Linked DNA regions of Neurospora crassa OR74A. The protein of the gene in region 1 interacts with the protein of each later gene in a pairwise test. Links are inferred from orthologs where the notes say so. Each region holds a gene or a part of one and is shown in the gene's direction. Other genes may lie near its edges. The genes, in order: chs-4, NCU04316 and NCU05720.

What was found.
Region 2: the proteins of chs-4 (region 1) and NCU04316 interact in binary tests that used the Saccharomyces cerevisiae proteins (3 or more experiments, as listed by UniProt). The link is inferred for Neurospora crassa OR74A from reciprocal best matches to the Saccharomyces cerevisiae genes CHS3 and KEX1.
Region 3: the proteins of chs-4 (region 1) and NCU05720 interact in binary tests that used the Saccharomyces cerevisiae proteins (3 or more experiments, as listed by UniProt). The link is inferred for Neurospora crassa OR74A from reciprocal best matches to the Saccharomyces cerevisiae genes CHS3 and CHS7.

What each region holds. Positions count from the first base shown.
Region 1 is NC_026501.1:4,236,530-4,239,051, reverse strand, and holds the end of chs-4 (chitin synthase 4), read left to right. Parts: coding exon 1-1,180; intron 1,181-1,253; coding exon 1,254-1,717; 3' UTR 1,718-1,995; downstream 1,996-2,522. UniProt on the Saccharomyces cerevisiae protein: Polymerizes chitin, a structural polymer of the cell wall and septum, by transferring the sugar moiety of UDP-GlcNAc to the non-reducing end of the growing chitin polymer.
Region 2 is NC_026505.1:5,592,792-5,596,546, reverse strand, and holds the start of NCU04316 (pheromone processing carboxypeptidase Kex1), read left to right. Parts: upstream 1-1,250; 5' UTR 1,251-1,487; coding exon 1,488-1,675; intron 1,676-1,745; coding exon 1,746-2,106; intron 2,107-2,160; coding exon 2,161-3,591; 3' UTR 3,592-3,755. Other genes in the region: NCU04317 (DUF431 domain-containing protein), read right to left, coding at 1-172.
Region 3 is NC_026503.1:625,294-629,048, reverse strand, and holds the start of NCU05720 (chitin synthase export chaperone), read left to right. Parts: upstream 1-1,498; 5' UTR 1,499-2,210; coding exon 2,211-2,451; intron 2,452-2,522; coding exon 2,523-3,358; 3' UTR 3,359-3,755. Other genes in the region: NCU05721 (arrestin domain-containing protein), read left to right, coding at 1-546. UniProt on the Saccharomyces cerevisiae protein: Chaperone required for the export of the chitin synthase CHS3 from the endoplasmic reticulum.

The sequences.
Region 1 (2,522 bases):
ACCATCTGCCTTGTCACAGCCTACTCCGAGGGTGAGATGGGCGTTCGTACCACTCTGGACTCGATTGCAATGACGGACTACCCCAACAGCCACAAGGTTATCCTCGTTATTTGCGATGGTATTATCAAGGGCCACGGAGAGGAACACTCAACCCCCGATATCATTCTCGGCATGATGAAAGACCACACGATTCACCCCGATGACGTTGAGCCATTCTCTTATGTTGCGGTTGCAACTGGTTCTAAGCGCCACAACATGGCCAAGGTCTACACCGGCTTCTACGATTATGGCACTAACTCTGCCATTCCTCTGGAGAAGCAGCAGCGTGTTCCTATGATGATGGTTGTGAAGTGCGGCACTCCTGCTGAAGCCTCCAAGTCGAAGCCTGGAAACCGTGGCAAGCGTGACAGTCAGATCATCCTTATGTCTTTTCTCCAGAAGGTTATGTTCGACGAGCGTATGACGGAGCTAGAATACGAGATGTTCAATGGCTTGTGGAAGATCACGGGCATTTCTCCTGACTTCTATGAGATCGTGCTCATGGTTGACGCTGATACCAAGGTCTTCCCCGACAGTCTCACGCATATGATCTCGGCCATGGTCAAGGATCCTGAAATTATGGGTCTTTGTGGCGAGACCAAGATCGCCAACAAGCGAGCAAGCTGGGTTTCCGCCATCCAGGTATTCGAGTATTTCGTCTCTCATCATCTTGCCAAGGCTTTCGAGTCCGTCTTTGGCGGTGTCACCTGTCTTCCCGGATGTTTCTGCATGTACCGCATCAAGGCACCCAAGGGTGCCCAGAACTACTGGGTCCCTATCTTGGCCAACCCGGACGTTGTCGAACACTACTCCGAGAACGTTGTCGATACGCTGCACAAGAAGAACCTCTTGCTCCTTGGTGAGGATCGTTATCTCAGTACGCTCATGTTGCGCACGTTCCCCAAGCGTAAACAAGTATTTGTGCCTCAGGCCGTTTGCAAGACGACTGTCCCCGATGAATTCATGGTGTTGCTTTCGCAGCGCCGCAGATGGATCAACTCGACCATTCACAATCTGATGGAGCTCGTTCTTGTGCGCGATCTTTGCGGTACCTTCTGTTTCAGTATGCAGTTCATTGTCGGTATCGAGCTGATTGGTACCCTTGTGTTGCCTGCCGCCATTGCCTTTACTTTCTATGTTGGTGAGTAGCCACCAACCCCAGTTTTCTCTTCCTTTCTTGTTTGACCAACTGAAAACTAATGTCCGATACCTAGTCATCATCTCAATCATCAACTCCCCGCCACAAATCATTCCTCTTGTTCTCCTTGGTCTCATCCTCGGTCTCCCAGCCATCCTCGTCGTCGTCACAGCTCACAGCTGGTCCTACATCATCTGGATGTTTATCTACTTGCTCTCCCTGCCCGTGTGGAACTTTGTTCTGCCTACCTACGCTTTCTGGAAGTTTGACGATTTCTCATGGGGCGACACGCGCAAGACGGCCGGCGAGAAATCAAGCAAGGGTGGCCACGGAGAAGCCGAGGGAGAGTTTGATAGCAGCATGATTACCATGAAGCGCTGGGCCGAGTTTGAGCGCGACAGGCGCGTCCGCAGCACGTACTGGGCCGGCTCGAGGGACAATGTCATATCCGGGGTAGGGGGTAGTAATGGGTGGGGAAGCAGCCAGCCGAGAGGCCATGAGCAGGGGAGACACTTTGATGACTACTTTTCGGACGCTTAGGTTTTGATATGGTGTTGCTGTGTAGGGATGCCTTTGTTTTTTTTAAAGTATTACTGTTGTAGGGTAGGTAGGGTCTTTGTTCGGAGGTCAGGTGTTTGTTGGAAAAGAAGGGATCCGATTATCGAACCTGCCGGCCTCGGTTTCTTTTCATCACGTTCATCATGGACAAGGGCGATATTAATGTGGAAGTTTTGGTTGATCGGTTGGCGGGTGGGTTTTCTGTCGATAGGATTAACTCTTAGACATTATTATGTGGAAAAGATTTATTTTTCTTGGCATACATTCGTGATGGGATACCACTTCTTCCGTTCATCTATCCAGTCACAAGAACCGCTCATGAACTTCGCCATACTGCATCAGTAAGGAAGTAAGCACGAGCACATGAGAGCGCCACAATAGGCTGACTACCATGTATGTTTTCCCATATTGAATGTAGCTATCCGAAGGCAGACAGGGGGCAGCTATGTCTACTATCTAGACAGTATCTCTGTTCTGGTAAATTTGAATCGATGTTTGGGAGCACAGAGCAGTTTAGGCCAGGCGAACAATGGGCTAATCTTCCCTCCGACCCTCCTTTTAATAACGCTTTAGAAGTGGTTGCTTGTAAAAGAGGGGGTCACATCATGAAGTGAGGGAGGGTGTAGTGTAGACAGTTTTTGTCAGATATCTAGAACAGAGTATTGGAATGACCTGATCGACCGACTGACTGACTGACGACGCCATTTCTTGCGTAACCTCCGGCGAGAAAACCCAGGTAATAATGTTGGCGCGCCGGAGGGAGGGGGGAGGCGACAATGGTACAAAA
Region 2 (3,755 bases), on another chromosome or scaffold:
GCACAGCGGCCAGGGCCTCGGGGACCTTGAAGCCCTGGGGCAGGGAAGTCAGATGGAACTCGGAACCGATCTCTTGCGATTCCTTGGCGATAGCGAGGTACTCGAGCTCGGACCAGGGGCCCAGCTCCTCATCGAGGTGCTCGACGATGTAGGTCTTCTTGGTGGCGGCCATTACTACGGTAGCTGGAGTAGGAATTCAAAAACCGGCTCAAAAGTTGTGCTGGGACCAAGATATTCAAGGATATCAAAAAGGTCAAAGTGAGGGTTAAGTTTGTGTGTAAGTGTTTGGACGATCTCACAAGGCCAAGACTAACATTTTCTTGGTGGAGCTTTCTGATGGCTTGGTGGGGTTCTCCGTGCCAAGATGGACGGCATGCCGTAACGGTGATTCAGTTCGGCGATCCGGGCCCGGGTTGCCTTGCCCGTTCTCGGAAGCCGGCCCCGCAATGTCTTATATCATCATTCCGGCAGAGATCCCGGCGGTAGGGGCTGTCCGAACTGAGGGATCATGTACATGTCTGATTGTTATGTCTAATTGTTGTCTCATACACCTGGGGAGAGTGTGGATGAACTTGTAATCGTATATACGAGGAGCTCACGCTTGACTGCCGAGATGAGTCGTGCTCGCGGACAATCGCTCGGTTGTTCAGGTCTGGGCCGATTTTATGAGCAGCTGTTCAGTTCTTGCCGATATCCGGATTTAGAAACTTTCGTCTGATGTTTTCCTCTAGGGCTGCTCTTTGTCAACCATCAGGGAGTAAAGTTGTCGAAGAGGTTTACACTCTGTCAAGTCATGTTAGTGGCTGAATAAGGCTCCGTTTATTCACGTCCAGATGCGGTGCCTGAAGATCTGGAAACAACCTTGGAAGCTCTCATAGCGAGTAAGTTGGTGTGTAATTAGAACTCTGTCCCCGATTCCATAACTATACAATAAGTTCTTGAGGCATTAGAATATAGCAGACAAGGACATTAAGAGTATTATCTTTCGATATCGACATTGCTTAGGTTGGATAATCGAAGGAAGGAGAATGGAACTGGCTTGCGCGTCCATCCACGAGGCGCATGGACTGAGTGACTGCATGGAAGAGAAGACCAGGCCCCCCAGCTATGTGTTAAGCTAGCATACCGGGATCGCCCAATACCACTAACAGGGTCCCTTACTTGTAATGAGATTGCCCCCTGTGAGGTCTAGCTGAAATGGAACGCCACTATCCGTGCCGCAGTGGCATTCATCCCACGTTGTACACTATTGTCCGTCCGCCCCAAGGACAGATTCCCTCTTTACCGTTTCATCCATGGATGCTGTCTCGGAGCAACATCTCGACCTTTTCAGAGTTCCTACAACTTTTGCCGTTGTCGTCGGCCTTCTTCTATCCTCCCCCATGAATGTGGTTGGTGGTGATAGGTAGCCAAACTTACGACAATTGTCTCCTCCTCCATCCCACCCACCACAACTGAACCCAGCGACTTGAGTCCAGTTGGTGATCATGGCCGCCACCACCACTACCACCAATGCTGGCCGGTCTATGGCTAGCTGGAAACGACTGTCGACTCTAATCGCGGCATTCACGCTGTCATGGACATCCAGCTTCGTCGCCGCTGCTGGCTCCGCCGACTACTTTGTCCATGATCTGCCAGGCGCACCAGATGGTCCTCTGGTGAAGATGCATGCCGGGTAAGTTCACTGTTGCTGCGCGAATCCAATATGTTGGGGAACACCAAGGCTGACATGTTCTCACAACTAGACATATCGAGGTCACCCCTGATAACAACGGCAACCTGTTCTTCTGGCACTTCCAGAACAAACATATCGCCAACAAACAACGAACCGTCATCTGGCTAAATGGTGGTCCTGGTTGCAGTTCCGAGGATGGCGCATTGATGGAGATTGGTCCCTACAGACTGAAGGACGAAAACACCTTGGTATACAACGATGGCGCATGGAACGAGTTCGCCAACGTCTTGTTCGTCGACAACCCCGTCGGCACTGGCTTCAGTTATGTCGACACCAACGCCTATATCCACGAGTTGACCGAGATGGCCGCCAACTTTGTTACCTTTTTGGAGAGGTGGTTCGCTCTGTTCCCAGAGTACGAGCATGACGATGTAGGTGCCACACTCTGAACCTCTTCGATTCGTTCTGTCTAACCGATTTCTCAGCTTTACATTGCCGGAGAGTCTTACGCCGGTCAGCACATTCCCTACATCGCCCAAGCTATTCTCGAACGTAACAAGAACGCTGGTCCCGTCAATCGCAAATGGAACCTCTCGGGCCTCCTCATCGGCAACGGCTGGGTTTCCCCCAAAGAGCAATACGACGCCTACCTCCAGTTTGCCTACGAGAAGGACATCGTCAAGAAGGGTACCGACCTCGCCAACAAGCTCGAAATCCAACAGCGTATCTGCCAAAAGGAAATCGCCGTCAAGCCCGACAAGATCGACTACCCCGAATGCGAAGCTATTTTGCAAGACATGCTCCAACTGACTGCTGGCGGCGTCGGCGCCAGCGGCAAGAACCAATGCTACAACATGTACGACGTCCGCCTGAAGGACGACTACCCCTCATGCGGCATGGCCTGGCCCCCCGACCTCAAGAGCGTAACCCCCTACCTCCGCAAGAAGGAAGTCATCAAGGCCCTCAACATCAACGATAACAAGTCTACCGGCTGGACTGAATGCAACGGCCAGGTAGGCATGAACTTTAACCCCAAGACCAAGCCGTCCATCACCTTGCTTCCCGACATCCTCTCCGCCGGCGTTCCCATCCTGCTCTTCTCCGGCGCCGAAGACCTCATCTGCAACCACCTGGGCACCGAAGCCTTGATCTCCAACATGGAATGGAACGGCGGCAAGGGCTTCGAACTCACCCCGGGAACCTGGGCGCCGCGGCGCGACTGGACCTTCGAAGGCGAACCGGCCGGCTTCTGGCAACAAGCGCGCAACCTCACCTACGTGCTCTTTTACAACTCCAGCCACATGGTCCCCTTCGATTACCCCCGCCGCACGCGCGACATGCTGGATCGGTTCATGGGCGTGGATATCAGTAGCATTGGCGGACAGCCTACGGACTCGAGGCTCGACGGGGAGAAGTTACCCGAAACGACGGTCGGCGGCGCAGCAGGGAATAGCACGAGCAACCAAGCGGCCGAGAAGGCCAAGTTGGAGATGGCCAAGTGGGAAGCCTACCGCAAGTCAGGCGAGCTGGTTCTGGTGATTGTCATTGTTGCTGCGGGCGTGTGGGGATGGTTTGTCTGGAAAGAAAGGAGAAAGACTGCTGGGCAGGGGTATATGGGTGTTGCTACGGGCGAGAGACATAGCATTTCTAACAACCCGGGACCTCGTGGGAACCTTAGTGGTGGTGGAGATAGGACGAGAGGTCAAGGATTGGCAGGTTTTAGGAACAAGAGAAGCGGGAGGAGGGATGTTGAAGCGCAGGATTTTGACGAGAGCGAGTTGGATGATTTGCACTTGAGCAAGCCGGAGGACCCGCATGCGGATAGTAGGTATAGCATTGGTGGTGCTAGTGATGATGAAGAGGAGCAAAAACCGGGGAAGGGTAGTTCTAGTAGGCAGCCTGGGGGGAGATCGTGATTAGTTAAGTGGTAGCTCTTGGGTGAAATGTTGACTTGGTTATTCTTATAGACTATCGGCGTTTCTGATATCCTTGGCAGGCAAGCTGGTACGGGTTTTGGCTTGGGTATTTTATGATACAGAAAACATCACACATTTGTGCACAGGACCAACGGTACTATATA
Region 3 (3,755 bases), on another chromosome or scaffold:
GGCCACACGCTACCGAGCCCTCTCGAACGGCAACGGCCCATGCACCTTATCCGCTGCCCATCATACAACCCACCGGCATTTGATGCTGACGAGCCCCCGCCGCCGCTTCAAGCCGATTTGATGACGCCGCCGCCCCAATACGACGCCATCATTGGTACGCCTAGTGTTGACGGCCTGGCAGACTATTTTGCCAGGCTTGCAGACTATGAGGACACCGGGCGACCACAGATGGGTGACCGAAGCGGCAGCCAGGAGAGTGTTGCCACAGTGAGAGGCATCCCTAGGCCGACCAGCGGAAACGAAGGCTTCTTTGACTCCAATGAAGTGGTAACTGGCTCTGATTTGCCAGCCAACAAAGACTACGAGGATGACTCGTCAGGAAGCGCGGACGAAGAAGAGGGACCGGTAAGGCCGCATCGTCGTGGCCGAGTCAATGTTGCCAACCCAAGGACACCAGGCGGCAGGCTCATTCCGAGTCGGAGCTTGGAGATTGATCGCCCTGTGATGCGACTCGACATGGGCTCTCTGAATAGTAGGAGGAGATGACTATGATGATGACTTTTAATGACTCGATGTGTGTGTACGGGCACAGAAGTTGGTGTATAACAAGACGGTTGAGCATTTTGCATTGGCTGGGCTGGGTCATTGATAGACGGTGTTTACTTAACCCACTGAAGCATTGTCTGTCTGGAAACACGCATAGAGACCAAGAATGAGGACGGAAGGGAATGGTGGCAATGTCAACGATGGCATGATAACGCATTAAAGACCAGGGCATGAGGCGGCTACGGTGGTTTGATATATCCATTTACGAATGGCGTTTGGGAAGGGATGGTGAAGTGTACAAGAGCAAAGGGAAATCAACTTGATAGCATGGACACGATAATGTTCTTCTTTGTCTGTTCTTCATAAAATGTTACTAAACTGTGTGGGCTTTGCAAAGAAAGTGGTGTACTGGGCTGTGCAGGATGGACGAGATATGTGGTTGACATTTGTATGGCGAGAGCTGACTGAGGGAGGAGGAGCAGAGCACAGGGTATCATGGTTGTAAGTTGTTGGTTGGTTGGCCGTAATTACCTACTTGGTAAAAGAAAAGGAGAGTGTAGAAAGAGTACTCTTGATGTATCTTAAATGGTGATCAGTTCGTCGCCAGTTCCAAGAGTGAGTGAGGCAGTGAATATTCACAAGACGTCAAGGTGAAGATCGTGGAATGGCGTGGAGGTTGGAAAAGGGAGTTTTATATTGAAGATCTTGAAGATCACAAGCCAAATGGACGGAGAAGCGGATGCTTGGCGGGGCGCCCATACTGCTACTTCACTCCACTGGGTCAAGTGATAGTTGCCGATTTGCCAGCTGGATATCCTGGCTCTCTTGGCATCCAAATGACGGGCAGCCAGATGGGGCGGCACCTGGTCATTATTCCCTGACTGTGCCCCGATTCTCCCTTTTCTGCCCGTGGGTCGCCCATCCATCTTGGGACAGCCAGCGCCCCCCCCTCCTCCCCCAGCTGCGCTTCCCAAGGCAGTCAGTCAGTCCCACACAGCGTCCACACTGCACTGGCCCTCAGTTCATCTTTCAGCTTTCCCGTTTCTTACAGTCGCAACGCAACCAAACAACACGGGGGACACGGCGGGGAAGCCTGTTTTCGTTACGCATTTCTCGGGTGGCTGGTCGTCCAACTTCTCTCGTTGTTGTTGTCGTCGTCGTCAAGTCAAATCAACCACCGAAACACATTCGTTGAAACATCTTCATCAACACTTTCGTTTTCGCCAATCAATAGGTATTCTATCGCGTATCCGAATTACACAGCGCGCTTGTCCGACCTTCGCTCAACGGCAACCTCTCGTCTCTTTCCCGCCCATTCCAGACTCGGGACTATTTTACAGTAGCACAGACTCCACTAGGCGCCCGTCTCACTTGAACAAACCGAGACAAGAATACAAAAAGAGACACAATCTTCTCCCTAATCTCACGCACCTTGATTATTATTATTTTTTTTCCCTCCCGCGACGACAGTTCGAGTTGTCGAACCTGCCGAGGCCGTGAATTGACACCGAGCCGACAAATCCCCCTGTCCTCTCTCTCGGCCCCGCCCCGTTGCGTCGCTTTTTCCTTTTTTTTTATCCCCCGGACCCGACGACACCCACGAAGCCCTCGCCGAACGACGCTTAGCTTGACCCGGCCCTCGACGGCCTCATATATCGCCAACCATGGGCAAATTCGGAGATTTCAGCAGCATATGTCGCATGGCGCCTATTCCTCTATGCGCGTCAGTTGGCCCGATAACATCGATTGCCACCGGCGTCGGCATTGAGCCGGACTGCTATGCGCGCAACATTGAGGTGGCCAACACCATCATCTTCCAGGGCGCGGCAAGCGTGATGCACATTGTTGCTCTAGTCATGACGGTGGTCATGTTGTTGCATGTGAGGGGGAAGTTCACTGCTGTCGGTACGTCTTCTTCAATTTCTCGATTTGGCATGGAGGGAATGCGTGTTAACGAGAATAAATGTGTCCAACAGGCCGCAAAGAAATCACCACCTTCTTCTACCTTTACATGATCCTCACCTTCCTCTCCCTCTGTATCGATGCCGGCGTCATCCCCCCGCACTCGGGCTCTTACCCCTACTTCGTCGCCGTGCAAGCTGGTCTCGCCTCCGCCCTGGTCACCTGCCTAGTGATTAACGGCTTCGTCGGCTTCCAGCTCTATGAGGACGGCACTCCTCTCTCGTTATGGATGCTCCGCCTCTGCTCCTTCGTCGCTTTCGTCATCTCCTTCCTCGTCGGTCTCGCCACGTTCAAATCCTGGGCCGGCTTGGGTCCCACCAACACCGTCGGCATATTTGTCGTGCTCTACTTTCTCAACGCCCTCCAGCTCCTACTCTACGTAGTGATGCAGATCATCCTCGTTACCCGCACTCTCCAGGACCGTTGGCCTCTGGGTGACATTGCCTTCGGCCTCTTCTTCTTCATTGCCGGCCAAGTCATCCTTTACGCGTTCAGCTCGCCCATCTGCGAGGGCATCTCGCACTACCTGGACGGTCTCTTCTTCGCCACGACGTGCAACTTGCTGGCCGTGATGATGGTGTACAAGTACTGGGACTCGATCACCAAGGAGGACTTGGAGTTTTCGGTGGGCACGAGGATGAACAACTGGGAGGTCAAGGAGTTGCTGCCACAGGGTCCGGAGGAGGACAGGAGGGCGACGGTCTATGCGGATCCGATTTACGAAGGCCATTATGCTTCCGGGCCCGGAACGGGAAGTGGTGCGAGCGCCAGCGGTTATGAGGGAGGACATCACAGACGGGAGAGTCATGGGTATACGCCTAGTCCCAACAGGCAGTCCTTGAGGTATTAGAACGCCTAAGACGGCCTGGGACATGTTGAGGGAAAAAAACAAAAAAGAAAAAAAAGTGTAGAGAAGGAGATGGATGTTATGGACAGGGAAAGGGATGGATTGTGGATGTGTCTTCAGACGGTTGATTGATACCATGTGCTCACGGCACTCTTGTCATGTTGCTTGCTTGTTTTGGTTGGGCGGGCGCAAAAATGCATAACGCAGCTATCTTTGATGATTTTCGGTACGGGGGTTTTTCTGGTGGGAAAGCAGCAAGCGAAGCATTCCCAACAGACAGCGTGTTGGTAATTCATCAATTTTTTTTCTCCTTTTTTTCATCTTTTTTTCTCTTCCTTTTGGTCGGCGTTAATGGCATTTCATCACGGGAGAACGGACGGAGAAACGGGGGTACGTACGT